2 linked regions of the Oryzias latipes genome follow. The protein of the gene in region 2 interacts with the protein of the main gene of each other region in a pairwise test. Links are inferred from orthologs where the notes say so. Each region holds a gene or a part of one and is shown on either strand. Other genes may lie near its edges. The genes, in order: receptor-type tyrosine-protein phosphatase S and liprin-alpha-1.

Region 1 (15,921 bases), on a different chromosome or scaffold from region 2:
AAATGCCACATATTGATCGTGTGGCCAGATTAAAAAAAAAAAAAATCACTGATATTGTTCAGTGAGCCAGGCCAAACGTGGAGGCGGGCCGGATCCAGCCCGCGGGCCGTAGTTTGCCCACCCCTGCCTTAACCTAATGATTGGTTACAGAGTCAAGTGGGCGGTGCTGATGCTTTCTCCACGCTAGATCGCAACAACAGGAAGTAGCAGAGACAGTGGATTTGCAGACTAGCTTTTTTTAAAGTAACATGCACAACACTGCTGAGGACTCTGTTCTCCCCGACCAATGAAAAAGGATGACAATAACTGGACAGGCAGCTGATAGAAGCAAGTTGTTGTTTGCGTTCAATTTGATTTAAATTAAATATAGAAAAAATTCCAATTTTAAAATCTGTATTGTTCAGTTCTAAAGAGTTAAACTGAAGAAAAGTCGATTCTTTTATTTCTCACACTGAAAACTAACAAAGAAACTGTGTTTTCCATGAAAAAATACAAAGAGTTGTTTTAAAAGACATTAGATTTATGGATTTGATGGCTCAATACTGCATCGCCTAAATCAAGGTCAGTATAATTTGAGGAATTGATTTTGTAAACCCAACGCAAGCCAAAAAAAGCTTCAGTTTCTGTGATACATCTGGACATTTTTCTCTAGTCATTTAACAAGATAAACAGCTGTAAGCTCCATCTGAGTTTACCTTTCACAGCGTCTTGGTGGAAACATATCGGACCAGGAGCATCAATCGAGAGCAAAAGTGATGAAGACACTGAACATCCCCCTCCATCTAATTGATTTGTGACAATGACTAATTAAGCCTAGCGGGTGGTGTTGTGATCCGCTGTTTGCAAACGTCATTCATCACAGCAGGGGGGGAGGAACAGGCTTGTCTGATGCTGTTTATGTGTAAGTGAGTGGTGTGTGCGATTCCACAGAACCGTGAGGAGGAGGGCACGCTTGTTGTAGTTGTTGCTGTAATCAGAGGAAACATGTAAGCTGATTGTTGGTGCCAGCAACTGGCTGGTGGGACTTTTTCAGTCAACATGAGACATTCTTTTCCACTTTTGTAGACACGAGATCATGTGTTGGTAGACAAAGTTTCACAACTGCATTAATGCTGTTTTTCAAATTAAATTAAACATTACTGATAGATTAATATATCAAATATGAACTGAAGACATGCTGTCAGGAAATATGCTGCAGTACCCAGGCCCGCCACACAGTGATCCCTCTGCATGTTTGATTAACTGGAGCTTTAAGTTGTTTTTGCACATAGAGGTCATAGTAGCTGTCAAACAAACAGCTCCAACACGGGTAATCAAAATGCCAACTCTGTCAGTCACGTACAAAAACCTTGCAGTAAAAGTAAAAAAAATATTAGATAATTAGAAACTCCGTCTGAACAGCAAATAAAAGATCAAAAGCTCTTTATTAATAATTATTAACAAAAGTAAGTAAGTCTCACTGAGGCAGAGGCATAACTGAAAGGTAGAGGGGCAACTGCTAACACTTCACATTACTGTATCATTTATTAATGTTAATGTATGATTAAGCATTATTTAACTCACAAATAATGTGTTAACAGACACTCTGATGGATTATTTTGCATTAGCAAGTGTATTATTTAATGCATTTAGGCATCAAATAGCAATTCAATTATGTTTATTATTCAACTTTACTTAATGCATAAGAAAGCACTAATTAAAACTTTCCTGGGCAATTGTTTAGTGTTATGAATGCATCGACAATATATTAGTTAATGTATATGTAAAGTCTTAATGTCTAAAGTAATCATTTCTACTGTTTGCTTCCAACGACTGCAGTCGACTGGGTCTAAACAGGCTACAAAGTTTGGACCAACCAGAAAACTGTTTATGCAATTTGAACTACAGGTATTTTTGCAGAAATTGTTACCCGACTATAAAGAAATAAAGATGTTTAAAACTTGAATGGCTCCTTTGTTGCATTTAGTGTCAAAAGGAAGTATAGACAGTTCTGTCATAGCCAAGCAAGTCATTTTGCTAGTTAATGAACAGTCATTCAGACAAAGTTAAAGGTTATACAGTGGGGGAAAAAAGCTCAGTTTTGTTGTTGTAAAGGAAAAGAGCATCAGGAAGATTTATACAAGTTACATGAACTACTTCCAAATGCAAATAAATGAAGTATTTTCTCCGCAGTAACAGCAGATAATAATAATCACCAGCTATGCACTAGAGAACAAGTCACTCATTTACGTATTAGAATTGACTGCAATTTCATGTAAAACCAACATGCGTCAAGTTTACTGTCAAGCCGGATTAACTGAAAAAAGTTCAAGCCTTTGTTCCAAAAACTATTCTTCCTTTCCTTGGATAAACATTAAATTATAATTCTGTGTGGCAAATGTGCATTTTGCACCTCGAACTTCAGCACCTTGACGCTCAGAATTATGGTGCAGCAGATTCCTATTATTCCTTGGTAAGCAAATCCTCCATGATAACCATCATGACATCATGTTGCAGCACCATCACCTTATTTCTGTATGCAATGTCCTCATTCTAGCTGTGGCCGACTGAGTCTGATTTTATCGGAGGCGGCCGCGGTGCAGTGGCACGGCAGTCAACCTCTGATAGGAATATTGCTGGTTCGATTCCCTCTTTGCCCGCCCATGTTTTTGAAGCGTCTTTGTGCAAGACACCTAACCCCCCCTTGCCTCTGTGACTGGATCCTTCTCTCCAGTCATTGTGTCATACAGTCACTGTCACTGTAAAGCCCTTTGGGCCTTCGAGGAAGGTAGACAAGCGCCATACAAGCACACGCCATTTTACTGTGTAAAAACTGGATGGAATGACCCCTCCCCCCCTCGCGATCCAAACAGGAAGATCCTGTTGGAATGTGGTCTCACATCGAACGTTCAAAATATCTGAAAGATTCTCCAGAGTCCGCTATCAAGTGATAGGGGTGTGGACTTCCAACAAGCTCACTCCTGACTGGCAAGAGTGATTACCATTGAAATGCTGACTTGAGCCGTCTCGGACAAATCAAAGCTTACTGACAATTTCTGGTTCCAATATAGGGGAATCTGTATTGCAAAAAAAGTCTAATGCATTCACTTAATTTCGTTGTAGCTAGAAGCAATTCATTTCTACGGGTGACGTCACTCTGACTCGGTCCGGCTCTTATATACAGTCAATGGCGATAATAAAATTTAACTAACACAACACTAAAAGATGACCAAAACAACAAGCTTAAATACGCTGATGCTCGATGCTCAAAATCACTAAAAATATAAACTCCCACAATGCCCCTTGTCCACTGCTTGTGTTGAAATACATAGGGTTATTTTAATTTTATAAATAAAAGTCAAAAGTTTGCACTCAACTGCACATTCTTATTCGAAAATCAAATTCCTTCCACTTTTCCTTACTTATAATTTCTGTTGCAGGGTGATGCTAATTGCTGGAATTGTCCTTTTAAAAAAAAGTGTATTTACTGGCTGCTGGTTTGCATTTATGGGATGATTGCTAATTGCTATGGTTTGCCATTTTATAGACTGTGGATCCGATGGAAGGTTAAAATAAAACTGACAAAAAGTGAGGGGAAAAAAATAGCTTGGTTGGAGATAAACTATGGAGATCCATTGAGCTGCATTGCTTTATTACTTTGGACTCCTATGCCAATTAAACTCATGGCTTCAAAGGAGACAATGACAAAACCAGACACTCTGCCTCAAGGAGTTTCAGACTATCATTGTGAGGCTGTCACAGCACTTACAGGCTTTAAAGCACAAACATTCACACATGTGCTCACAGTGTAAATACACACACTCTGCTCATTGGTACCCCATTTAAAGTGTAATTCCTGTTTCTCAGCACCACGGGTCACCGAGCTCACATAGCCGAAGCAGCATATGCTCTGCTGGATTGAAAAGGGCTTGGATAACTGAACTGGGAGTATGCTCATTTGAACAATGGCTCGCTATTAGCTGATGGGGATATTCAGAAATGCTCACCGGCCCAGTAAATTGGGCTAAAATGTCTGTTCTAATTAAATTCTTGGGGTGTGAAGTTAACAACAGCACCCAGTTCTGTGCAACAATGACAGAGTTTAAAAATAGTGTTCATATTTTAAGTATTCTTTTCCAAGTATACTGATGAGTATTAAAATAAAGGACTTAAAGGATCATCATAAAGATTTTTACTATTCAAAGATGAGAGAGATCCTTCAGAATCATTGATACCTCTTCTCAAAAGTAAAGGGGAACAGAATGGTTAAAAGAAGATCAACATCCTTTGTCTACGTGAGTTTAAGCATCCTCCTTTCAACACAGCATCTCTTCTTTCACATAAAGAAGTCTGTTTTTCCCAAAGACGCAAACTCGAGACAGATCGCAGCTTGACTCCCAGAGAAGCTGAACAGAAATGCTCTATTTTGAAAACGCAGTCTTTTGATGGTGCAGAGACTGACCGTGTATGACAGATGGATAGCTGAAAGAAATCTAGGCTAGGCTACAGCAGGGTAAGAGTAAAAAAAAAATGAACAGAATGTTTTTTGCCACCTCTGGAGCTTATTCTCCTTTTCTATAAGTTTGCCTCAATGGAGGGGAAACAAATCTGAACAAAAATGACAAGTTTCTCAAGATTTGGATGCATCTCTTGTAGTGAAGTGAACAAAACTTAAAAATGATTCCTGTTTTCCACAACTAGGCCAAATGCTAAAATGTGAGATATTTACATATTTATAATTCATGGTTTGTAGCTGGTCATGAAAATGTGGAATAAAAAACAAAACAAAGAAAACAAAACTTGAATTGTCTGATATGTGCTTTTTGATGAAACAAAACAAAGTGTAGCTACTGAAGCCAAACTGCACAAGGCCTGTGAGCACAGACAGTCTGAGCGAGAAATGCTTCTGCAAGATCTTAGATGAGCTGGAGCCATGGAGGCCCCGCAGAACGCGGACATGATGTAACATGTTGCGTCGCTAACATCAGATAAAGTTTGGACAAACATCAGAGAGATAGAAAAGAGAAACATGGATGTCTGTAAACCCTGGAGAACAAGCATACTCGGTTTTCAGGCCAACACAAGACTTAGTTTCAAGCATACAGTTATTTGTCGATAGTGAATTGATACATAGAGATATGGAAATGAATTAAGTATAGCCTGCAGGCAACAAAAAAAACATCCAGCAAAATAATGTGAATGTGGCTGCTTTTTGACTTTGTGTGTCAGCTTATGGCTCTTTTATACTCCCCTACATGAATATCCTGTCTAATTTGCATTTTCTAGCTTTATATAACAATGAAAAATCTAGTATCAAGAGGGAGAGTTTTTATTTTTGTCTTCTATAGCTTTGTAATTTAGGGCATTAAATTACAACTTTAAATTTGCTATTGTATAACATAATAATGTATTAAACACCACATGAGATTTTTGCAAATTCTTGTCTTAAACACAATTACAGATTGAAAAACGCATTTTTGAGCGTGTGACTTACCTGGAGTTTGGAAGTTGATGCGTCTCACCTCCACAGGGTCTGTAGGGTGATGGGGTGTAATGTCTGCATTGTTGAGCAGGCATTTGGTGCGAGGCTCCGACTCTTTTCTTTTGTGGCTGGACGGTAACACGAACAAAAGAGGCGGAAAGTGGGGGAGACGCACAACAAAAACGACAGAATTTGATTGGTGAGCAATGAATGTACAGAAACCAAAACAGAAAAACACTCTCTAATCTGTGATGTGAGAAACTGGTAATACTGCATATTAAAAAAGACGCAACAAAGTAGAGTTTGTAAAGAAAGTACAAAAAAAACAAAACAATCCTATTTACTAAATCACCCTTTAAAAAACCTCATCTTTTTTGAGACAGGCTAATTTGTCCTCTCGTGTAAATGACACTGAGTCTAAGTAGCACTGTGCCTTACCTGTCTGGTTTGCTGTTTCCAGAGAAAGCAACAGGAGTCAAATAAATATATAAAGATGATAAAAACACAACACACAAGGAGAAAGGGAGAAGGGGAGGCAAGAAGAAGTACAAATCAATAGAGAGCAGTTTAAAATTTACAGGGGTCACTGCTGGGCTTGCAAAAAGCCAGAAAAGGCTCATCAGTATGTACAACACTGGGTCAGAATGAGTAAGTTCTCAATGAAATGCGCAGTTAAGGGCGTCGACACATGAGCGTGTGTATGTACATCTAAGTGTGGACGCACAAGTTTTCAGACACGGGCAGGACAGGGAACATCAGGGCCACAAACAGACCCGGGACATAATATTCATCGGGATGGGGAGGGGTGGAAATGTAAGATGGACAGAAAAAGAAGAGAGAAAAAAAGAGACAGATCCAAGGAGAGATGTTACACTCCCCAAACGCTAAAACGACAGTTAGGTAAGGTCACAGAACAAGGGATAATCTGAAAATAGAGCACTGGACTTGTGCAATTTTTGGCAAGTTATAATATTGCAGGGAATTCCCTTTCTGGTGATTGAGGACTGAGTTAATAAGATTCAAGAAAATGCATTGCTTTTTTTCCTGACTAACCTAACTGTAGTGTATAAACACAAATAGTTCTCTTTAAAGAATCTCTGCATGAGCACATGAAAAAAAGATCTGGTCCTTATCAGGTATTCAATCAGGTTAATACAACCTCACAGAACAGACAGACACAAAATGACAGATATCAAATTGTCTTGACTGATTCTTGGTATGGTTTCCTCTGAAAAAAATTATTGGGTTGGTCAACATTCCCAAGGTGCAATGATTTTAATTTGTTGTGCTGTTGAAACACAGAGATTGCTCATGGACTATTTCAAAATCCAGATCACAACCGCACAGAGTCGACTCTGAGAGCTGATTTTAAAAGAAATTCATTGAAACTTAACTGTTGAAAGAAAGGATGTGGAAGAAAATGAGTAAAAGTCTTTAAATAACAGTTATGCTACATTCACACCATGCATGTGACGCCCATCCAAGAATGCACCAAACGTGCATTCTTGGATGCACATTTAGCCCATGGGGCTCATGCTAAACAACCAGGGAGGGGCATCTTTTTATTCTTTTTTCGATTCATAACTAACATTGTGTCATAATTCAGAATATAATTTAAACGTATTCTTCTCACCTTCAAAGCTCTCCATAACCTGGCCCCACCTTCTTTATATGATCTTTTCCATATCTACACTCCCTCGTGCTCTCTCCAGTCTTCTTCTCTGAAGCTCTCTGTACCCCCCCATCCAACTGGTCACCATAGGGAGCAGAACCTTCACCCACTTGGCACCCCAACTGTGGAACTCTCTCCCCCTGGACCTCCGTATCATTTACTCGTTACCTATCTTTAAATACAGACTCAAACCCACCCAGGCGCTTTATAATAAAAAATAAAATGGATTATTATAATTACAGCTGGGCAAAAACTGCAGTTATTAATTTCTCCTCCATGCTCAATCTTCACTTTTGTGAATTAAAAGGGACACTTACACGTCACTTCCAAATCCGGGTTCCTGATTAGTCAAAAGTTAACTTGGTTTAACTGTCAACGTACATTCAATTGAAATGCATTTTGTATGTTCAGCCCAAAAAGGATCGTAGAAACTTGTGTAGCGAAGCATGAACACGAGAGTTTTTAACATGAAAGTTAAAAAAAAACATTTAAGGGGATTTATATAGACTTTTCATTGGAAGTGGTTGCTTGAACGATCGTTGCAGAGGGCAGTGTAAATATAAATTTAGAGTGCACATTTACTAAATTTCAGGACTTGTTAAGGACCAAATAACTTTTTTTCCATCATCTGAGGTGCATAAAAACCTTAGAATCTTCTTTTTTTAGGTTTCTTAACTCTTCAAGCTCCTGTCTTGACATTCTTTGGACTATTGTAACCCTTTGACTGTTTAACCAATGAACGCAATGGATTCTGATTCAGAATCCATTGGAATTACATTAATTCCATAAACGATCAAAGATTTATGGTAGTTCAAAAAGCGTGTTATTTAGGTGTCCCTGACAGTATCTCTGGTGTTAAAGAGTTAAAACAAATTTACCAACTATAGAGAAATGTTCAATTCCAATGATTCAGGAATGGTATTCGGCAACACTGAAATACTCTTAGACACTATGCTTCAATAAGCTATTATTGCAAATCATCCCACAGAATCTCATCTCTTCTTTTTCCAACCAGCTCACTACCGTGATGAACTCTCCTCTACATTCCAACTTTGTCATACTTCCATGCAAAAAAGTACTTGGGTCCTTAAGAATTCCATGCTGGAATTAATAAAAAGATTTGCCCCTGTTCTGACATGCATCCTGACATGCAATGATGTTCCAGTTTATGACTGTTCATCATCAAACACGATGGGAAAAAGATGTTTTCCCACTAAATGACGGGAAACATATTCTATAAAACAGTTTCTTTTTTTTTTTGGAATGCAGAATGAACTCATATAAATTCCAGTTTATATGAGTTTTAGTGAAGCCTGACAGCTGCCTTCTATCATTTGAGGCTGAACAGTCTCACATTTACATTCTGGAGTCTGAATGTTGCCTAAAACATTGCACACAGCAAAAACTCACTTCTTATAAAGGAGGATGGCACTGACAATGCAGATAATAAAGACCACAGCCAAAACGGGGCCCACCACCCATAGCTGGGTTTCATCATGCTCTGCTGGCAGATCCACCACCAGCTCGGGGCTCATCACCGTGTCAGTGTAGGGGCTTGTTGCAAACATTTTCTAGAAGAAGAAAAAATAACACGTTTACAATCATTGCACATTTGGTAACATCTACATGTTCTGCTTGGAAAACCAACACGCCGGCAGTCCTATGAAAGTCACTTTGACATTTTCAACCAAAAATACCAACCAGTAGTTGTACTAGGACCTTTTGAACTCACAATTATTACTCAAAATTAGGTGTTCACAATTTTGTTAAAAAAATATTTGTATGACTAAAGTTGAAGCAGAATACATCAAAACTGGAAAAAAAAAAATGGTGAAATTTACTGATTGCAAGGGGAGACTGATTGGATCCAAAACTCACCCCTGCGGTGGCATTGAGTTCAGCCAGCAGGAAGAAGACATGCTGCTGACCAGGTTCGAGGGGCTTGTTCTCACAGCTGTTGTGGCGATTGTCAGATCCCACTATGAAGCTGAGGGGCAGCTGTTTGAAGCACGCTGTGATGTAGGCATCCCTCTGGTCTAGCTGAGCCAGCTGCCGGCGTGAGCGGTGCTTCGGGACCACCCGCAAAAGCTGCTCAACATGCAGAGGTTTAATTGGTTTCCCAATGCATCCAGTTTTGTATATTCAATCCAATATGTATCTTTTTTTAAACTGTACAAACAGATCTAGAAAATCTAACAAATTTTCCCATGATTCAAAGAAATATGTTTAGCATTTGTAAATCAAACAAAATGGCAAAAATAAACCCTTTAACAGCGGCGCTTTAGCTGCAGTGTTGACATTCCTTTAACAACTGTAACTTGTCAACCGCTTATGCAATTAAGGTAATTCCAGCGGATTCTGAAGCTGAAAAGAGAAGCCTTTTACTACTTTACAGAGGTAAAGTGTTTACATTATATCATTTAGCTGGTTTTGTTGCAGAGAAAAGGGACTTTGTTTTGTCTGCGATACAACCGGCTGCTTTACGTTGACCGCATAAACAGTCTAAGATTTCTAGTCTACTCTTTTTTTTTTTCTTTTTTGCATGATAAAAGAAGCTCTTGCTTTCATGTAAAAATGCACAAGTTGTACTGTCACAGTCAGCAGCCCTTTCCCCAAAGTGCTATGTGGTAGGATTAAGTGTTATAAGTTATTGTTGAACATGTTTACTTGAGGGTCTAAGGGAGGTGAAAAGAGCTTGAAGCCTTTCGGTGCACTGTTTGAGATCAAAGGGAAAAAAACTGGCTTTAAAAAGCTGCCTAATATGGGAAAAAAAGAACACAAAACACACACACACATCCAAGCCCGCACACTTAGTTCCAACTACAGACAGAGGCAACCGCTAAGTAGAGAGGATGTGTGTAATCCCAAATTTAACAGGGGGGGGGGGGGGGTGGTTGCCGTGCTGATCTGCAGCTCAAGGCTGCAGACCCCAAGCTATGGGAAGAGTGGATATGGACTGTAATGCTCTCTTCTGCATGCTTTTGGGGATACATTTGCATTAGCTGTGATGTCTGAGCTGCATGTGCACATTCTAGTACAGGCTGTTCACAATACAGCTGGGAAACACAAACAGAATCCCTCCCTGAAAATTCTTCCTGTTACTCCATCTATGAGTTGTATTCATTTTGATCACCCTATGTCCACAAGTGTACCTAGATTTTGCTCTCACCTCTTCCATGTCCATCTCATCAGGGTTTATCAGGTTTTTAACGGTTCCTGAATTTGTCCTAATTGGCACCACAACCACATAGAAGTTCCTGAAATGAAGCGCCAAAGGAGTTAGACAAAAAAAAGAAGCTTGATTTGAAGCTCAGCAACACAAAATAAAATACTTTTAACCAAAACAACTACTTCTTCTGACACTTCAATATAATTTAAACAGAACAGCAGAGGCCAAATAAAGGGTTCCCTCGTTATATTACAGATCATCTTTTGCAGTCTTTCTGTTTTGCGCAACTTTGTAAGCTTTTTTTTCCTTAAACAATGCACTGTGATCTGCGTCCTGATTGGCTGTTGCTATTGTCAATCAATCTCTCCCATGCAGCTTGCCAGAGTTACACAAATATTAATCCTGGTCATTCTATAACACTGGAGAGTTTTTTTCTTCAAACATTTCATCTTTGAGAGTTTAAACAAGACAGTAAAGTGGGAAAATATTTACGTGTATAAAGTGTGTACTAAGGGGCGTTCCTGCCTTAAAACATCTGTAATTCTACTTCCTGGATTTCACGTATCACGAGTTATTTACATAATGTATCCCCCGCGATAAATAAGAGAACACTGTGTCTCAATACTCACTTGACATCCTTTGTGTTTACTGGTGAGAAGGACATCATGAGCACATTCTCTCTCTCAGAAACCGTGGGCTTCTTGATTTGAAGAAGCGGAGCGGTTCTGGCTGTCACACGATGCTGTGGCCCACTATTGGTGCTTTCTTGGCAAGTCACTTTAAACTCATAAGTGGTGTTATGCCTTAGCCCTTTAATGAAGGCCTTCAACTCCCGGGCGTCCACATCTTTCTTCTGGTGGGCATACTCGATCTGGAATTTAGAAGTTTGTCAGTCTTAAAATTCAAAATACAGCTCAACTTCTCAAGAGATTGTTTTTCTGAAACACTTAACTCACCACACATTTATACGGCGACCTTTCAGAAAACTTCCACCCAAGCACTACTGTGGTCTTGGTGGCCCACTTCACAGTGAAGTTTTTAGGAACATCTGTTAAGAAGACAAACAAAAAAACAAAAAAAAAGAGCGCATTTTATTAGCAAAACCAGATCAAGGAAAACAAAAAGGAAGAACCTTTGGTTTAAAAAGTTAATTCCTCTTGTCTTGCAACGTTCCCCCTAGTTTGAAGAGTGAGCACATTAATGAATTGTGATTAGCTGTGAGACAGGCAATGCTATTGGTTAAAACACATAGCACGCAAGACTCATGGACGAAAAACCCATTGAGCACAAGGGTGTGCCCTTTGGCTAGCCATTGTAGACAGTGCCAAACCATTTCACCACTCACTTAGACCACTCGATGATTAGCAACTGAGCCACGTATTTCCAATGACCGCCAACTGTTTTTACACTGGTGCAAAGTTTGACTTGGCACTGCCAACGTGCAGCCACACAGGCAACAAGACAGACCCAGAACAAAGCATGCCAAATGTTCTCTGCAGTGCATCTGTGGGATACCATGCCACAAGCTGTCCTGTAGCAGGATGGGGGGGGGACGGGACGGAAAGGAAGCCTCTGGAGGGGACAGGAATAATGTCTCAAAATAAACAAAAACAAATAAATAAATAAATCAAATCAAATCAAAAATCAGACTTCTGCTTTACCAGAATGGCTATACTCTTGGAGTGACTAAGCTCCTACCTTGTTTGAAAACTGGGGCTGTGGGATTGCATTAGCTGCACGACTGCGCTTCAAAAAGCGCTGCAAGGACTGACAGGAGTGACTTAACTGCACTTACCTTAAAATTCTAGGCTGACCTCCAAAATTGACTGACTATAACTTACTGACTTACAGTTTTACCTGTTTTAGGTTAGTGAAGTGAGTGTCCAACAGCAAACAGGTTAAACATCAATCTTCATTCTTTTAAAAGGAGGTGGAGGTGTTTGGAAGAGTGGAAGGGGCGGTTTTCATTTTTGTGTTGTTGCAGATTGTTCTTAGCCTACTTCCAACCCCCTGCCACTGGGATTGGAAAGAAACAGGCAAGCCCTACCTGCTGGGTGAATGGCCACCGTCCGATACTGGATAGGTGGGCTGTAGGGCCCTGGACCTACACTGGTGTGCGCTCGCATTTTCACCTCATAGGCAGAGTTTGGTTTGAGGCTGTTCAGCACATAGCTGGACAGGCTTGGATGCAAGCGCAGTTCTCGTGGTATTTCTCCAGTGCCGGCTTCCTTATAGACCAAAGTGTATTCCGTAATGACTCCATTCCTCTCTGCCAACACCGGTGGAGACCAGGACAGCAGCACAGAGCAGCATGTTACATTAGAGCCTTCTTTAATTTGAGGGTATCCACCCGGCGTATTCTCAGGTACGCTAAGTTCTGCCACGGCTTCTTCCCCGAAGCCTCCTCTGCTCTTGGCTGCCATCTTGAAGAGGTACGTGGCTCCCCGATGAATGTTGTCCACAGAGTACCGACGTTCTTGCGGAGCAAATTCCAGTGTGGCCAAAGGGGTGATGTCCTTTCGGCCAAACTGGAGCCTGTAACCCTGCAGATCCATGCCATTGGTCAGGTCTGGAGGGTCCCAGTGAACAACAGCAGATGTCTTTGAGTTCTGAGCCACCGAGAGATAAGGAGGACCAGGCACTGTACAGAAACAAACAAAAAAACAACATTTTTATTTATTTCCATGTATAAGAATGCAGAATGCTTTTAAATCAATGATATAACCATTAAAAGGACGTATACATTTCATCAAAATAACTTTGATCTTTCCTAACCCATCATTCCTTTGCAACATGAAGGTTTTGTAGTTGCATTTTTAAAAAGGCACTTTGGCTCAAAATGGGTCAAGCTACAAACCTGCAGTTTATTCTTTGAGATTATTTAATCATGGTCATCACTGGCATGCATGAAATTTTAACAAAGGTATGTGGTGCTTGATTTTAATAAATCCATAAGCTAGCAAAGAGATGATGCTTTTGCATGGAGATATGGATGATCCAATTGATTCTGTTATCATTTCAACACATTCTAGATCCATCCAAAGTCCCTCGGCTCCACTGAGCATCACTTAAAGTTTAGGAAAAACAGTGCATCTTTCAGTTGCAGGCAGGTCTTGTTGCAAAATGGATGATCTACCCGTAGGGCCCAGTCTCCATTCTTCAGAGTGGCCCCATTTTGCCACTCTTAAAGATGACACACGTTTCATCTGAACCCGCCTTTTGAGGTCTCATCACAGAGATATCAGCAAAGAGAAGCTCTCAATTCTCAATTGACTGTCAGAAGCTTTCAGAGAGATGTGTGTCGCTGATTTACTTTTGAGCATCATATCATCATAAACAGATTATATTTTTTAACTCCCTGTCTGACGCATCTCTTTCCTCGGAAATAACCATAGCAGCAGAACAAATACATGGCGGTGTCTGAATGTGGCTGCGGAAAATTTTCTATTTCTCTCAATAGCATTTAAGGACGGTCTTCTTTGTGTTTATGTTTGCACCCCGAATCTCACTACTCCATTATTTTGAATAGTTCTTACACTTGCCATTATGTAACATCATCATTATTTGTTCTATGCAAATGGAAATGGAAAAATAAAAGCCATTAAAAGTTTTTAGTCATTTGGGGCTCTTGATTGAACTTCGGGATCTGTTAATGGATGAGCAGCATAGCAAAAGTCATAAAAGGTTTATTTCTTTTAGCTTTGTGAATTTAATTTATTGATAATCTAAATGTGTCACTCTGATAGTTGCAAAGACAGGGTTTACAGAAAACTGTCTTTATTCAAATTTAAAGCATGAATGGAATCAAACAAATGAAAATGGGGAAAAAAATAAAAACGGCCTTCCTCTGACCGCCTGTGTGCATCCTATGTGAGAAACAACAGCTTTGGGGGACTATTGTGCACAGTATTTACATGTGCAACAGCAGTTTGTGCACATCTAGACCCGAGTGTGCAGCCATCTTCATCCTCTATATTGCCGTTCCAGATGTACACAGAGCAATTTGGCTTGTTGCCCGGCATGGACTTAAAGTAATTTGAAGAGGCCAACATTCGTCTCAGGCAATAAGACTCTGCCTCTATGGAAGAGTGTCATGGTGTCAGTGAATGTGTGCATGCAGCAAAACCCACACACACCACAGTATACACTCCACCAACCACATCCTCATCCCTTCGTTTTTAATTTCTGTTTGCTAATGGTCTGAAGATGAGGGGAGATGGTGGTTTGTCTGCTCACTTTTTTCACTAAGTGTATTGAAAGGAATGGAAGAATCCTCCCAGGACTTTTGGCTCATAGATTTCATCTCAGTGTGGTTTAAAAGCTCACTCTGCCATCATCTCCCACTGTTAATCACGGAAATAAAAATCTGTGAATGTGACCGAGTCATTCCGTGAGTGTATTCCCACCTCTGTGCTTCACTTTTAAAATGAGCAGGAAAAAGGTAGAAGTGGAAAACCAGTGAATCCACAGGATGATTATAGGAGAGCCAGGGCATGGTGAGTGGATGAACAACAAGTGGATGAGGGATGATGAAGGTGACAAAAGGACAGGGGGCAATCAGCCACAAGGAGAGACCAAACGGGGATATGAGTAGCCTGATCTATATGTGTGGGACTTTGTGCGTTCACATGATCAAAAAAAAAAAAAAAAAAAGATTTTCTGGTCACCTTGATTCTTCTTCCATTTTTCCAACCCTGCTGTTCTTTTGTAAACCCACCCAATATGTCTATTTCAGGGTCGACCCCAGTTCAATCCGTCTTTGACTGACTCTCGGCACGTTTCCCATCAGGCTATAGTATTAAGAGCTTGCTGTTGACATAGACTTGCCTGCCGGAGACCAAGGTGATTTCATTTATTTATTTATTTTTTTCTTGTAACTTCCACTGATGTACACTCATAAAATATATCCAATAGATTAAAAAAAGCCCTATCTGTATGTGCAAAATTAAAAACAAAAGCCCTATCTGTATGTGCAAAATTAAAAACAAGGAAAACTAGATGCTGAAACTTTGTGTGCCAAATTTAACCAAAGAAAGATCACTCAAACATTTAACTGTGGTTACAGCTAGCCAATAGGGACTTAAAAAACAGATAAAAGACAAGAAAAAAATGTGTGAGAATGAAAGATAAATCTAGTAACAGTCCACCTTCTTTATTACTGAAAACTTTTTTATAGAGCCTCCTAGCTAGAAATATAGTGAGGAAGTCTAATGAATAGCTTGAAATGGTACAAAATAAATTGCAACCTGCCAGCAAATAACTGTTTTAAGTAGTTAGGGTTACCAAAAACAATTTTGCAGCGCTGGAATGCACTGTGGTACCAAACCCTTATGTGTTTCAGTTGAACTTATATACTAGTGCTGAAAGTCAAGGTGTCAGTGAGTACAGTTCCCTTTACCATCAAAAGGTGCTTTGAAACTGGGTGAAACCTTGACAGGAAGAGGTCTGGCAGACACAAAGTCATAACTGAATAAAATAACAGGTTTCTGAAACTTTATTTATGCTTGGTAGGTGGCTCATAGGCCAACAGACTGAAGCACATCCTAACTGTAGTCCTTGTAAAATACCTTCAGCTTTTTCTGTCAACAGAAGAAGACTTCAAGCTGCAGACTTGATAGG
Region 2 (15,921 bases):
GGAAGGCAGGAGATCTCCAAGAGGTGGTGGACCGCCAGGCCGCTGATTTGGGCCAGATGAAGGAGCGCATGGCTGCTATGGTTTCCCGAATCAGTGAGCTGGAGGAGGACCTGGACACGGCCAGAAAAGACCTCATCAAGTCGGAAGACATGAGCACCCGCCTGCAGAGAGACCTCAGAGAGGTCCGTATGCGGCTCCAAAGCCAGGAAAACCTTATCAATGTGTTCTAGCTTGAATCTGTGTTCTGGAGACCCGTAGCAGAGTGACAGGAATGCACGCTGTTGGCGGTGCTGCTGCTGATGCGAGTTCACACATGTGAATGTTTCTGTGATCAGTCAATGGCGCAGAAGGAGGACATGGAGGAGAGGATCACCACGCTGGAGAAGCGCTACCTGGCAGCTCAGCGGGAGGCCACATCTGTCCACGACCTCAACGACAAGCTGGAAAATGAAGTGGCCAACAAGGAGTCTCTGTTCAGACAAGTATGTCCTGAACTCCAGCCCAGAACTCCTCAAAGAGGAACCAGCAGTCCATTCAATACCGATCAAATACCTAGTCTAGATATTCTAGCTCATAGCCCTTTCTGCCCTTTCTGGGGATGTTGATGTTTGAGTCTACAGATCTCAGCTGCAGGTCTTAGGGTGATTCTAGTGAATTCTTGCTGCATTCAGACTCTTCGGCACAGCGGCCTCTGAACGGAAGGCCTTGAAGACACGGGCCTGTTCTGCTGTCTGCAGAGGCCTTCCTTCAGTTCTTTTCATCATTCTTCTTTGTGGCATCTTAAATGGCCTCTTTTTTCCCTTTTCCTGCCCACTCCACCCTCCCCCCGTTCTTCACCCCATCTTCCGTATCCTTTTGTCACCCCACCCTTTATTCTTTTTTTTCTCCACTAGGCTGAGGAAAGAAACCGGCAGCTCCAGGAGAAGCTGGAACTGGCTGAACAGAAACTGCAACAGACCATTCGCAAGGCGGAGACTCTGCCTGAGGTGGAAGCGGAGTTGGCGCAGAGGGTCGCCGCCCTCACAAAGGTACCAGCACCTGTCCATCAGAAGGAAGCTGGGGTTCTGACAGTGTGAATATTATACCCATCCGTTCTTAAGAGCATATTTTTCCTCTTCTGATGTACCAGTGCTCTATAGAGGCTTTAGTTGATCACTTTGTTAAATAGAATCAGCTTTCTCTGGTTTTCTATTGAAGACAAGTTTTTTCTCCAGTGTGTCTGGTGAGCAGATGACCTGATGTTCTCTGGTGCTGCGTCCACACCGGGCTCAGAAACGTCCGTTCGAGCGACTGACTCCAATGAAAAGCCCATGTAAACACACGTTAATGCACGTTTTGGGCTTCTGCGGTCAAAACTGGCATTCACACACTGCTATGCAAGTTTTTAAGTCCGTTTTCAGGCTCTACGTACACAACGCGCCACAACTGAACACACTGTGAAAAGTAAACCCGTTTGAAAAATCAGGAATCTGGCTTTGGTAGTGACGTATGGATAGCATCCTTTTCAAAACACAGAAGTACAAATTGGCTGAAAATTGAGAGCTGAGGAGAAATTAATGATTGCGGTTTGTGCCCGGCTGGAGTTCTATGGCGATTTTCCAAAAAAATAAATAAATAAAAGCTGTGAAATGAAAGGCCTGGAGGCAAGATTCACAATATTTTCACCGCTTTGACATTCCACACCAAGCCTCTTCTCACCGTGAGTACATGCCATAGTATTGCATAGTGTCAGTCTAGTGTGAACACCATATGCACGTTCAAGAACACACCACACGAGATAAATAAATGAGAAGATGACATCACAGCAGGAGAACCGTCAGCAAAACGAACGAGGCCAAAATCTCTTATAAGGCTAAAAAATATTTCAAAATCCACTAAGGCAAGCAAAAGACACACGCCAGGCATATCCAAATGAAGTTTGACATTATTATGGGATGGCCACAGGACCTACGGCTGCACTACCGTTTTGTGGCAAAGTCTGAAATTTCAATTGTCAATTTTAACACAATATGGGAAAGAAAACACACACAGCACCAGGTTAAGTTCACAACAACAAAAGTTTCGTTGACCTTTGACCTCTGGAAATGGTTGCCATTACTCCCCGAGCATCGTTGGGAAGCTACCTGGGGGGGAAAAGTAAAGAAAATAAAAGGTGGTTTTAAAGTTTGTAGACTTTTCCAAAAGTGGCATTTATTCCCCTAATACTTATTATTACTTCATATGTAAGACACGAGTCGTTGGCTCAAGCCGAACAAAACTATATGACAGAAGATATTAACGTATTAGAAATGTGGGTGTGGTTAGCAGAAATCTCTGTCAAGGGAATCGTAAAATGTTGTTTTACCAATTTTCCTAAAAAATTACATAGACCCCCCCCCGCATGAAACGGTTGCTATGGAGATCAAGCTGACAGAAAACCTGCCATATTAGCCTGGAGGTTTTGTCCGTGTACATTTGTAGTTTGCTTCATGACTCCATTCCTGAAAGCATCAAAGTTAGGGAGGACGTCATTGATGAAGTCCATGAACGCGTTACCTTCCATTGTAGTGAACACAGGTGTGTTTGCTCTTTTGATGCCTCCTGCTGCCACTGCCTTCCTCTTTTTACAGCCACAGGAGACTCTTCCTTTCAGGGTCTGACATAAACAGGAAGAGGCTTATGGATAGCCGGCCCCAAAGGGCCCACTACTCGGTTAATTAAAAATAAAACACCATCCTGTGCAAAGTAAACAAAACAAATAAATCCTGAAAGAACTATTTCATAGCAGCCTTTCATAGAAACTCCTTATGCCTGGTTTTCAAGTTCAGCATAACCTTTAGTTCTGAGGAGGATTGGATTATTTTACTGTTCCATCATTTCTTTCTCTTTTGTTTTTTAAAAACACGTTAGTTTTAGTCATTTGATTATTTACGGAATGAGCTGAATAAATTAGTGTAGCATAGCTCTGTGGGGGGAGAAGCTTCACCTCCTCTCTTTGCTGTAAACTCTCAGCTGAAGTTTACATTCTCACAAAGATGGCCGAATTTTGTAAGCCAGGTCTGTGACGATTTCATGTTCCGACCCTGGAACGCCATATTACCAAAAACAAAGCTGCGATCATCTGTGTGCAGGCAGAGGAGCGCCATGGTAACGTGGAGGAGAGACTCAGGCAACTGGAGGCCCAACTGGAGGAGAAGAACCAGGAGCTGCTGCGGGTGAGCTCATTGGAGGAGTTCCTGTGGCCGCGTGTTTTGCGTGTGGACGGTAGAAAGGACGTATTTTGCTTTTACAGGCGCGTCAGCGGGAGAAGATGAACGAGGAGCACAACCGGCGTCTGTCTGAGACGGTGGACAAGCTGCTGTCAGAATCCAACGAGAGGCTGCAGCTGCACCTGAAGGAGAGGATGTCTGCTCTGGAGGACAAGGTGATGAGCCAACAGCATGCTCTGAACATTGACTGTATTTGAGACCTGGACAAAACAACCCCTCCCCCCTGCCGTTCCAAACAGGAAGTACCCGCTGGTTCCAAGAAGCCAAAATCCAAAATAACCACTCCTGCTCGGATGCCTTTATTTTAACATCTTCTTGCTAATCCTAATGTTTTTTTTCATATTATATACACTCCTATTCTCGTTATTAAAGCAGATGCCTCAGTAAAAGCGCGTGGTTCCCGCTAACCCCCAGGTTCCCCCTGAGCCACTTTCAGTGGAAGGGGAGACTTCAAACAGAGGCGACAGTTGTTGCTTTAGAAATCTGGACTGACCAATCACTGCCCTCTGGCTCCAAGATGGCCGCGCTGGCGTTGGAAGTGAGGCCTTTCTGTGGATGACGTCACACTCGCTCCGTCCAGGACTCTGATACAGTCAATGGTGTCCTCTCTGCCAAAGCAATGACCTCAGTGTTTGACCGTCTACCTGTCTCCCTCAGAACACTCTGATTAGAGAACTCGATCACATGAAGAAGCTGATTGAAGAGTCTCATCACGAAAAGGTATGAAAACATGACTGTTTTGTAGTTGTCAGGTTAAATGTGCTCATTACTGTAACCCCCTTTAGATCATAAATGTAACTGTAACTGTTTTACTGACATCATTAAAAAGCTCAATGTTTCAACAGCTCAGCCAGTACGTTCATTTAACAGCTCAAGGTGCAGATTTACTGATGAAAAGAACGCAAACCCGGCCTTTGAGGAAGACGGAAAGCTCTGCTGAGAATCGGTCTGATTTTTGGCTTCTTTTTAACCAAAAGTGTTGATCTATAACGCCTCCAAAGAGGCCTAAGCAGAGTGTGAAACAACGCCAGTGAAGCATTGGATCACCATTTCAGTGTGCTGAAAGAACCAAAAAAATTCAAAGGTTTTCTTCCATTCACGTGAAAGAAAAAGTTCAAACTCACTCAAGTGAAGAAGCATATGGTACAGACTGACGAACCAGAAGGTTAAAATACACAGAACAAGTCGTCTCAGGGAGCCCAAGGCAGCGATGAAAGTGAAATGCAATCAATGGTTTTAACAAACATTTAAACAGTACAAAACAGGGAAAGAGGGACCATGTCTGAGTCCTATTGAGTTGGATCCAAAAATCTATTGGTGGTGATGTAGTTGAGGGGTTTGCTGAAGCTGATGAGACGTACTTGAAGGTGTTAGTATCAGGATCTCAGGATCATGTTGTTGGGTAGCTCACCATCAAATTGAGGATCAGACACAACACAAAAAATAACCTGACTTAGAAAGGGTCTAGGAATAGAGAAATCAGTTGAAAAAAAAGCAAACCAGTTATTTCACTTCTTAAATAGCTCACATTAGCCATCAGTATTTTACAAAGCAGGAAAAACAATATGTCAACAATGTGTCAAAGTTTCTAATTTGATGAAAGTTTTAAATCATATGTACTCTGAAGTTACATGTTACTTTTATCCTGTCATCAATCAAAATAAAGATAAATCAAATTAAACATTCAAACGTTACACAACATGTTAATTCTATCCTTTACAAAAGCAAAGTGACCATTTTGGCATCATGGAAAGAAAAGTAACAACAGTTCAAAGTGGACAATTAAACTCAAAGTTAATTTCTTTATATAGCGCCTTTCATTTGAGTTAAAAACACAAAGCGCTAACATAAGAACAGATAAAATAATCATAAATAATGAAAATTAATAACAGAAAACGCAGACACACACACAGATGGGACCCCTCCCTCACCAGATTCCTCCCTCCACCCACCCGGGTCCCCCAGTAGAACCCTGAACAAACAAAGAACTGCAGCTAAAAGAACACAAGAAAGAAATTGACCTAAACATAAAAGGCTTTGGCTTGAATTTGTCCGACTACATTAACACAATTAAACCACTCACTCACTCACTCACTCACTCACTCACTCACTCACTCACTCACTCACTCACTCACTCACTCACTCACTCACTCACTCACTCACTCACTCACTCACTCACTCACTCACTCACTCACTCACTCACTCACTCTGTTTATTCCCTTTCGGGGTCACGGGGGTGCTGGAGCCTATCCTGGCCACTTACGGGCGAAGGCAGGGGACATCCTGGACAAGTCGCCAGTTTGTCGCAGGGCCACAATCACACACACACTCACACTCACACCTATGGACAATTTAGAGTTCCTAATTGACCTATGAAGCATGTTTTTGGGAGGAAGCCGGAGACTCCGGAGAGAACCCACGCATGCACGGGGAGATCATGCAAACTCCACACAGAAAGGTCCCCCAGCTGGGACTTGAACCATGCTGTCATGTTGTGTGTTAGGAGGAAAGAGAACGGTAATAAAAGAAGGCTCCCCCCAGAATAAATACTATTGACTCTTTATTAACCCACTCTGGAGAATCTAAGGGTCCAAACGGGGAAGTAAACCCTGAAGGAGGATCCACCTTCTGTCCCCCGCGCTTCTGACCACGGTCGGAAAGGAAAAAAAGTCATCCCTGGAAAGTTTCAACACCACGCTCTGCCATTTCGCTGGGAGTTTTTTCAAAAACCGCCCGTTTGCGATAAGAGCCCTTGAGTTTGGCCTGAATAGAGCTGTCACCCCCAATATGAATCCAATCGGTGACCTGCTTCCCTTCCACTGACTGGTCTCAGCAGCATCGTCCACCATGGTTGATGACGTTTGTCAGTTGAAGATGGGTTCTGCCAAATAAGGACTTTGTTTGTGAAATGTGTTTAACTCTTAGGAGCAGCTCCTCATCCAAATTGAGACCATGAGAGCAGAGAATGAGATCGGCAGGAGCAACTCCTCCCTCCACGGGTCAGCCAGTCGACGGAGAGCATTCACTCCACGATGAAGCCTGCGGCGCCTTCTTAGTGTTCTGGTTTTGTGTGTTTGTAGGCGCTCTCAGCTGGGCAGCACCCCAGATTTCAGGTATCCAGTGTCTGCGTCCTCCATGATGGACGGCAACTCCGACAGCTTTGGCAGCGCTCTAGTTCTGAGACGACCTCAGAAAGGGAGGATGGTGGCGCTCCGAGACGAGCCGTCCAAGGTGAGCTTTGACACGCTCCTGTCACATACTGTGTGCGTTTGTCCTGAGCTGATAACACGACGAAAGTGACTGGTGGCGAAGAGCTGCTCTTCTGCAGGGGGGGTCTTTGTCACAGCCTTTGTGTTGTCTCTCCTGTTTCCCTCCAATGTTTGAGCTCTCTGATGGTTTTCTTCTTCTTCTTCTCTGCTTCTTTCTGTTTGCTTCCGCTGTGGACACCAGCGACATGTAAGTCCATGTGCTTGTGGCCTGTGTGCTTGAATATTTACTGCCCCGTTTATCTCAAACTCTCGTCCTTCCGCTTCTTCATTCTCGCATCCTTCCTGCTTCACTCCACTCACGACCTTCTCGGGGTTCTGTGCTCATGTCCTCGGCGCTGCAGGTGCAGACGCTGAACGAGCAGGAGTGGGAGCGCATGCAGCAGGCGAACGTGTTGGCTAACGTGGCGCAGGCCTTCGAGAGCGACATGGACGTGTCTGACCTGGAGGAGGACCGGGAGATGATGTTCAACTCTGTGGACCTGCTGTCCCCTGCTGGTCAGGCCGATGCACAGACGCTGGCCTTGATGCTGCAGGAGCAGCTGGATGCCATCAACAATGAAATCAGGTACCAGCAGCCGCCTGCAGCGCCGACCACGCCCCGAACGCAGACCTGCACTGAGCTCCTCCCTCTGCTGCTGGCAGGATGATCCAGGAGGAGAAGGAGAGCACCGCCATCCGAGCAGAGGAGATCGAGTGCAGGGTGGGCAGCGGCGACAGCATCGGAGGGCGCTTCCGCTCCCTGAGCTCCATCCCGCCCTCTCTGTGTGCCGGCTCCTCGTTGGGCGGCTCGCCGCCCAGCTCGGGTCACTCCACCCCCAGGCGCATTCCTCGCAGCCCCAACAGAGAACTGGACCGGATGGGCGTCATGACCTTGGTATTGTCCTTCCCCTCCTAGTTGAGCTGCTCTGTAAATGTAGTAGAGATGCTGACTGTTAACACCCCCTCCCCAATCATTGGGGCTGTTAGCATTAACATGCATGTGTAACCATCTGTGTATTCTGCCCCCCGCTGCCCCACAGCATTATTGCTATGACCCTTACATCATGCAGAGCTGGCTCTCCCAGCAGACACTAACTTACTTGCCATATGGCGCCTCTGGCTTCAGCCCCCCGCCTAACACCTGTGGCTTTGCCCCACACTCTCAGGTACCTGCAGACCCCCCCCCCCCCCCCCAGTCCCCCGGGGTGGGTGCAGCCCCGTCTCTTCCTGTCTCCTCTGCTCCTTTTTACGAGATTGAAGGCGTGTTTTCTCCTCCATCCTCCTCCGTCAGATCAGACAAATGAACAGTGAGTCTTCAAAGAGGCTTCATTCAAACCAGACGTCTGCATAGCTTTAAGAGCCAAACGGCCACAAACAATTAAGGAAAACTTCAAAGGAACTGTGCTTTTATTATTAACTTTTCCCTCAGACGGTCCTGCTAAAATCCTCCATTATGTCTCAGAGTTCCCTCTCTGTGACGCTGTCCACCTTTCATGGCCTCACTGTGAAACTTAAGGTTTTATTCTTACGGCGCATTGGGTTCTGCGTCCTGATTGGCTGTAGATGAATCAATCTTCTCCCTGTCGTGTCTCCTGCACAGAATACATTCAGTTGACCACATTTACATAAATCTTTGACTGTTTTCAATCTATAATCCCGGACTCATTCAAGGTTTGAACTTTGAGAATTTAAACAAGAGAGAAGAGAGTGAAAATGTCTGAGAAACGTGGAGAACATGTGTAGTCAGGACTTTTATAGCCTTAAAGCATCTGAAATAATTGAGAAAAACAAAAGACGACTAAGATAAGGGAACAGTGTACATAAAAAAGATACTGACTGGCCTGATAGTAAGTTTGTTGTGGTTCTTCCTTTAATATTTGAGGCCTCAACATGTTGTGTTTATGGGTGTGAAGGCAGCAGCCAGAGTGTGCTTGAGCTTTCAGGTCTGTAGTGTCAGTTTAAATTCTCAAAGATGCTGCCTCTTATTTGTTTTGCCACAAAGCAGCAGTTATGTATGGCGTTCCATGGCTACCATTAGTTGAACGACCGCAAAAAGAACTGAGCGAGTGTTTTCAGGAGCTGAGTGAGGAACCTTACAGCCACATAAGCACAATGCTAACCGAGTGACCCCGCATTTTACAACTGCATGGCTGCAAACCTGACTGCGCGGCGCTCCGGCGCTCGCTGGGTTTGCGCGCAGTGAACAAGAACAGCCCCGCTGCACTTCCTGACCTTGTTCTTGGCCGTTGGTTAATGTTTTAATCCACGTTACATCCGCCGTCTGGCCAATCTGATCAACCAGAGAGGTTACCGCCCAAACACGCCCCCTAAACACTGCTTACAGGAGCGCCGCGCAGTCAGGATGGCAACAGTGCAGTTGTAAAATGCGGGGTCGCTCGGTTAGCATTGCGCCTGCGTGGCTTTGCGCTCGTTCAACTAATGGCAGCCATGGAACGCCATAGGTATGCATCTTTGAACCATTGGCGTTCTCATTCTTAAGCTGACACCAGGTTCGTGTCATAACTCTAGAGCCGTGAGGCTCTTTTGTGAGTCAGGACGGACATTTAGTCTCCTGCATCAACACTTGTTTGAAGGATTCCTTCCCTCATCCTCTGACGGCAGAATAGCAGAAGCTCACAGGGATCTTCATTTGCAGCTCTCAGGTTTATCTGAAGCTTCCTCTCATTGAGGTGCACTTTGAGCCTTTATTTCTGAGCGGATCCATGTGTGAACAGGGATCGACTGTGACGGCTCCTTCTGTCAGGGTTTTGAACACAGATACTAACCAGGTCTTTTCTGGCTCCAGCGTGATTACAGGCAGAAGTTAAGAGTTGTGTTGAGGAAAGCAGGGAGTGTGATCCTGCACACACACGGCCTGCATGCTTCGTCCAGACTGCTGCAGCTGCATGCGTCTGTGAGCAGACGGCTGCAGCTGCATGTCTCTGTGAGCAGACGGCTGCAGCTGCATGTCTCTGTGAGCAGACGGCTGCAGCTGCATGTCTCTGTGAGCAGACGGCTGCAGCTGCATGTCTCTGTGAGCAGACGGCTGCAGCTGCATGTCTCTGTGAGCAGACGGCTGCAGCTGCATGTCTCTGTGAGCAGACGGCTGCAGCTGCATGTCTCTGTGAGCAGACGGCTGCAGCTGCATGTGTCTGTGAGCAGACTGCTGCAGCTGCATGTCTCTGTGAGCAGACGGCTGCAGCTGCATGTCTCTGTGAGCAGACTGCTGCAGCTGCATGTCTCTGTGAGCAGACGGCTGCAGCTGCATGTCTCTGTGAGCAGACGGCACAGCTGCATATATCTGTGAGCAGCCGTCTGCAGCTGCATGTCTCTGTGAGCAGCCATCTGCAGCTGCATGTCTCTGTGAGCAGACGGCTGCAGCTGCATGTCTCTGTGAGCAGACGGCTGCAGCTGCATGTCTCTGTGAGCAGACGGCTGCAAGTCTCTGTGAGCAGACGGCTGCATGTCTCTGTGAGCAGACGGCTGCATGTCTCTGTGAGCAGACGGCTGCAGCTGCATGTCTCTGTGAGCAGACGGCTGCAGCTGCATGTCTCTGTGAGCAGACGGCTGCAGCTGCATGTCTCTGTGAGCAGACGGCTGCAGCTGCATGTCTCTGTGAGCAGACGGCTGCAGCTGCATGTCTCTGTGAGCAGACGGCTGCAGCTGCATGTGTCTGTGAGCAGACTGCTGCAGCTGCATGTCTCTGTGAGCAGACGGCTGCAGCTGCATGTCTCTGTGAGCAGACGGCTGCAGCTGCATGTCTCTGTGAGCAGACGGCACAGCTGCATATATCTGTGAGCAGCCGTCTGCAGCTGCATGTCTCTGTGAGCAGCCGTCTGCAGCTGCATGTCTCTGTGAGCAGACGGCTGCAGCTGCATGTCTCTGTGAGCAGACGGCTGCAGCTGCATGTCTCTGTGAGCAGACGGCTGCATGTCTCTGTGAGCAGACGGCTGCATGTCTCTGTGAGCAGACGGCTGCATGTCTCTGTGAGCAGACGGCTGCATGTCTCTGTGAGCAGACGGCTGCAGCTGCATGTCTCTGTGAGCAGACAGCTGCAGCTGCATGTCTCTGTAAGCAGACGGCTGCAGCTGCATGTCTCTGTGAGCAGACGGCTGCAGCTGCATGTCTCTGTGAGCAGACGGCTGCAGCTGCATGTCTTTGTGATCAGACGTCTGAAACAATCCAGCATGCGAGCTGCACCTCTGACCAGCAAAGAGGCTTGCCCCCATTACACGGACCTGTAGAAAAGGAGTCACATGGAACACAGAAGTCTGTTTTTCTGTGGTGTTGTATGTGCAGACAGACTTATGGTGTGAATGAGCGGGCTGCTGCGGCGCCGCCCTGCTGGCATACTTTGTGTCTGGAGTGCAGCTCTGCCCTGGGGGCTGATTGTTTTTGGAAAAGTGCACCGATTGCCCGTATGATCCGTTTGAGTTTGAAGCTGCTCCGTCTGTTCTGCTTCGTGACGGTCAGGAGTTCAGCAGCCTGTTTGTCTGCAGCAGAAAGACCTTTTTTATGTTGGTTTTAAGGAAAAAAATAAAAGAAGTGAGGTTTACAGATTTTGGTCTTTAATAAGGACTCTGTTGTACGTCTCAGCGGATTTGAGTAAAATAAGTGAACCCCCTCCGTGATTCCTGTAGGGAAAAAGTGGGAAATGCAGCACAAGTTCAGTCCTAAACTGAATGTTTGCTCCCTCCTGGGTTTCTCCTTCCTGTTTCCTTTTATAGCTGTGTAATCTCTTCCCCGGCCTGGCCCCTCCGTCTGTGGAGGGAAGGAAACGACTGATTGGGTATTTCCCCCCTGAGGCAAAGAAAGTCATGGAAATGTGGTGCTTTATGTGCTCTAATGCCAGGTTTGTGAGGAATGTGGTGGAAAGACCCCCCCCCCCCCCCCCCCCCCCCCTCTGTGCACAGACCAAACCTTCAGGTGTTTTACTGGAGAAGGCTCCTCCTCCAGGCCTTCGGACCAGCTCCGTCTTTTGAACCCGGCTGCACCCATCCCTCCTCCTCCAGAGTGACGTGCTGCAGCTCTGAACGCTTTAGGAACGAACTCTTTGTGTGTCTCTTGGTGTGTCTCTGCGTTTGTGTTCTTTGTTCCTCTGCTGACGTCTCACTAACTGCTTTGTCTCCTTTCTCCATTTTCTGCCTCTCGTCAGCCTAGTGACTTGCGCAAGCACCGCAGGAAGGTAAACCAACAACAGCCTGCAGACCAGAGTGAAATGTTTTTACCCCCACAGTCTGTTCATCCTGTGACGCCCCCATCTACTCTTCAAGTTTACGTTGTGTCCCAATTCCTTCCCTACACACCATATAGTGTACTCGCCATTTTGTAGTGCTGTCCAAATCCAAAATCCCAAAATCCAGAGCCCTGGAAATTTCCCAGAAGTCCCAGCGTTCATCGATGCTCACTGGATCGGTTTATATAGACCACAATGCACTGTGTCGGAACAAAAAGTATTTAAATGTAGTTTTTCTCATAAACATTTTTATTTTTAGAAAACATCATAAATAATCGTCACAAGATGCTCATCTCAATTAGATTCTACCTTTGTGAAATCAATGACGTCGTATCCGCCGACTAGTGAGCATGGCGTCCGAATTGCTTTTAAAATCCAGGGCACTACATGGTGCCCCACTATCTAGTTTTTTTTATAGTTATGGGTTAGGCCGGGAATACGGACACAGCCATAGATTCAGACAGCACTACAAAATGGCAAACGCACTATGTAGTCCACCATGTAGAGAGTAGGAACGCTACTCACTACTCAACCTTTGGTTGGTAGCGTTCCTACTCTCTACATGGTGGACTACATAGTAAGGAAGGAATTACCGTGATTGGGTTCATATCTCTCTGATTGTTTTGCCATTTTTCTTTCTTACGGAGCCTTTGAGAAATAAAACAACCTTTGCCACATACTCGCCAAAATGAAAAAGCCATCTTGAATTTTATTTAAAACAAAAACTTGCCTTTAATACCAGCTCCAGGTGGAAACTTCTCCTAAGGATTCTGATCGGTTACCTCCTCACCTCCTGAGTTTTGTTGGGAAGCATCGTGGGGAAAAAATATTGGTTTTAAAGTTTGTACATTTTGAATGGCGTTTGCAAAAGTGGGATTTCCTTGTTCCTCGCACATTATCAACCTGAATATAATGCAAATTGAATGCATCAGTCTTTAGCTCAAGCTGGGTTAGGGTCCAGGCAGGGGGAGCGGCACCATCGTATGGTCATTTGTACGGTTAGCTGAGATGCGCGACTTCCTTTAACGCTTAAGAGGAGAACCCACACTTTGCTTTCCCTGAATAACACGCTCTTTGACCTTCTGTAACCTTTCAAACATGAGCGTGATCAACGTGAATCCTCTAAATCTGTCAGAATTCTTCAGAATGCGAGTTACGGTATTGGAAGGAACGTAAATGCTGGAGCTAAAGTTCATCAGAGTTCATCAGAAACGGACGCTCGTCAGCCGACGCGGACGTCCCACCGTCCCTTTGCTAGCTTACAGCCCCTCACACCACTAGCCCTAACATAAGTGGTACATAAAGAAAGGCTACCAATATTAGAGCTATCCAGCTGTAGACTTTTGAGCCAACTAGCTCACAGGGAATGATGGGATATCAGGAGAGGCGGACCTCTGCCCGCTCGGATGACGTACATGTGTGTCTGATAGTGGATGCATGGGACTCCAGCGGAGCAGGGAGGCTCTGGCCCCGCCTGTTTCAGCTTTTTCAAGCTGCTTTTTTGGTCTGCTGCTGATTCAATACTCAGAAATGCAGTTTTAATCAAATTCTTTTACTCATATCCTCCGGCATGAGGAAAAACGCTACAAAAACATTTTCATTGGAGTGGGTCTTCAAAGTGGGTCTTCTGTCCTTATAGGGGAAAATAACATCCCATCTTTTCAAACCGTAGGTGACTTTTTTTGTTCTGGTTTGTTTTCATAGTTCTGTTCTGGTGCTCTCTGTGTTGATGTCACGTGTTCTTCAGCTGTGATGGAAACACTGAACCTGAACCTGTTTCTTGTTTTTTCTGCCATTGCTCAGTCCTCTCAGGACGACAAAGCCACGATTCGATGTGAAACCTCGCCTCCCACCACTCCTCGCTCCATGCGCCTGAACAGGGAGACAGGCCACGCCTCCAGCCATGAAGACATAAGAGACATCCGAGGGTGAGGCCTGCCTGCGCTTGCACTCGCTGCTCCTTGGTTTGTCTGGAAAGGCAGGCTAATCACCCGCTGGGTCTTGCTTCTGCAGTCTGAGCAGCCTGCAGGACGGTCAGGGCAGCAACCCCAGCAGCAGCAACAGCAGCCAGGACTCCCTCAACAAGGCCGCCAAGAAGAAGAGCATCAAGTCTTCCATTGGACGCCTGTTTGGGAAGAAGGAAAAGGGCCGGCCCAGCCTTCCCGGCAAGGATGTGCCAAGCCAAGGTTAGAGCTGAGGCTTCACTCCATCACAGTGCTTAGTTTTCACAGGATCAGCAGAAAGCCCGGCTGTGCTTTTGTTTTGGTTTGAATGAGTTGCTGCCGTCCGTCGTCCTGCTAAAGCTCTGAATGTTCCCAGCTGGCACCCCTGAGGCGGAAGGATCTCCAAAGGAAGGCCTCGGGATGGGCTCGCTCGGAGGACCGGCAGAGAAGAACCGGAAGCTGCAGAAGAAGTGAGTGCAGATCGGAACCGACAACACAAACGGACACAAAGTGGTGCCGGTTTCAACAACATGGCCTCAAATAGAAGCCGTGGTAGTGAAAGGGATCCGGAGCGTCTCCAAGGCTTCCCCATGGCATCACGCCAACGTGACGGCGACCTGCTCCACTCATTAGAAGAGCTGCACCTGAGCTGCCTCACTGCAAACATCTGCTGCAGAAATGCAAGAGTAAAGAAGGAATAGTAGAAAAACTGGACCCATGTGATGCTACAATCCGTGACAATTCATGTTAGAACACATCATGTGTAAACAGGCATGATGGAGTCACACATCCATGAACGTTGTTGTGACCAACTTTCTTCTTGTTTTGGGGTTTTTTGTCTGAACTTTTTCAGGTTAGTTTCATGCCGTCCTGGTTTCTAGAAAGGTCCTGCTGTGTTTCAGAGACGTAGATCTGAAGATGCTGCCTCCACCCGCCTCATCTGCTTCTCCCCAGTATTCAAACTCAACATTCAGCTTCCTTGCATTATTTAGCAGCGGAGGCTCTGGATGGTTCTGCTTCCACCGTAGAGCAGGCCCGCCTCACGCTTCTCCCCCCCCCACACCACCACATTCACTGCCGTCTCCTCACCTCATCCCACCGCTAGGCGTTTCCATCCCAAATCACTGACTGTTTGCCATCGTTTTGAGTTCTCCACCACAGCTGTACTTTTGCTTCTGTTCATTCTCTGTTTCTTTGTCAACATCCTTACAATTGTTTTTGTTTTTCACCACCTTCTTCTCATTCCATGTGTAGTCCAAAGACGGGGTAAGTTGGCTCCCATTGTTTAGCCTTATCTTCTTCTTTTCCTTTCCCTGGGCTTCATGTTAGCCGTCAGGACCCCAAACATGTGTCCCCCTGATTGCCTGACGGCGTCTCCATGCCGCTCTTCACCCTGCTTTCCCACACAGGAGCTTAACTAACAGCAGAGTGCTTGCGCTGAGTTTTAGTGGGTGAAACCTTTCCCTTTGGAGCATGTTGTTGGCGTGCACTGCAACGCCGGCGGAGACCGGTCCCTCCTCACAAAGATCTAGGAACGTTTCTGCGCACAGTCTCAATTATTGAAGCCTCCGAAGGTCGGGCTTCATCTTAGCGACAGACTTAGTGCCTCATTTACTGGTGATACGCGTTTCTGACGGTTGGTCAGAATCCGTGGTTCTGCCCATGACCAGCTGAGAATGTGCATGAAGTGAATATGTAGGGGTTGATGGTCGACGAAGTGTGCGTTATCAGAATTAACGTGCTTTGTGACGGTTGCTTCCACGAAGCGCGTTTATTCTGATAACACACACTTTGGAGGTGATTAATCTGCTTATACCATGGTCACTCACAAAAGGAACTAATTTTTTAAGCGTGCATTATGACTTTGTAACCCTTGTGCTATCCTAAGCACTTTAACATTGGGAGTTGGGTCATCTAGACCCACTAGACAGTGTTCTGAACCTTTCTCCTTCAATGATTTGTGATCTTCACTGGTGTCCATGGATTACATGAAATCTTTCCACCTTCATCCACCTTTGTCATGGTAGGGAGAACACGTGCATGTTAGGATTGGGTCATCTGGACCCCATACGATAGCACAAGGGCTGATGCACACCCAGCAGCCAATCAGAATCAAGTATCCACCCGGACCATGGTATAAGCTGTGTTCTTCCAGCGTTCTCTGTCCTGAACTCTTCCTCTGGTGCATGCTAGGATTAGAGGAATGCCTTCCGTCTGAACTGGACTCTAAACGTATTGGTTCTGAG

What was found.
Region 1: the proteins of liprin-alpha-1 (region 2) and receptor-type tyrosine-protein phosphatase S interact in a two-hybrid assay, tested with the Homo sapiens proteins (2 studies listed by BioGRID). The link is inferred for Oryzias latipes from reciprocal best matches to the Homo sapiens genes PPFIA1 and PTPRS.

Annotation. Positions count from the first base shown.
Region 1 is NC_019862.2:11,070,579-11,086,499, reverse strand, and holds part of receptor-type tyrosine-protein phosphatase S, read right to left. Parts: intron 12,944-15,921; coding exon 12,350-12,943; intron 11,351-12,349; coding exon 11,259-11,350; intron 11,174-11,258; coding exon 10,932-11,173; intron 10,391-10,931; coding exon 10,303-10,390; intron 9,222-10,302; coding exon 9,012-9,221; intron 8,705-9,011; coding exon 8,544-8,704; intron 5,912-8,543; coding exon 5,900-5,911; intron 5,590-5,899; coding exon 5,474-5,589; intron 1-5,473. UniProt on the Homo sapiens protein: Cell surface receptor that binds to glycosaminoglycans, including chondroitin sulfate proteoglycans and heparan sulfate proteoglycan.
Region 2 is NC_019861.2:2,127,117-2,143,037, forward strand, and holds part of liprin-alpha-1, read left to right. Parts: coding exon 1-182; intron 183-335; coding exon 336-482; intron 483-893; coding exon 894-1,028; intron 1,029-3,110; coding exon 3,111-3,194; intron 3,195-3,271; coding exon 3,272-3,403; intron 3,404-3,905; coding exon 3,906-3,968; intron 3,969-6,173; coding exon 6,174-6,247; intron 6,248-6,328; coding exon 6,329-6,479; intron 6,480-6,698; coding exon 6,699-6,704; intron 6,705-6,858; coding exon 6,859-7,082; intron 7,083-7,159; coding exon 7,160-7,391; intron 7,392-11,651; coding exon 11,652-11,681; intron 11,682-13,535; coding exon 13,536-13,660; intron 13,661-13,745; coding exon 13,746-13,918; intron 13,919-14,051; coding exon 14,052-14,145; intron 14,146-14,929; coding exon 14,930-14,941; intron 14,942-15,921. UniProt on the Homo sapiens protein: May regulate the disassembly of focal adhesions. May localize receptor-like tyrosine phosphatases type 2A at specific sites on the plasma membrane, possibly regulating their interaction with the extracellular environment and their association with substrates.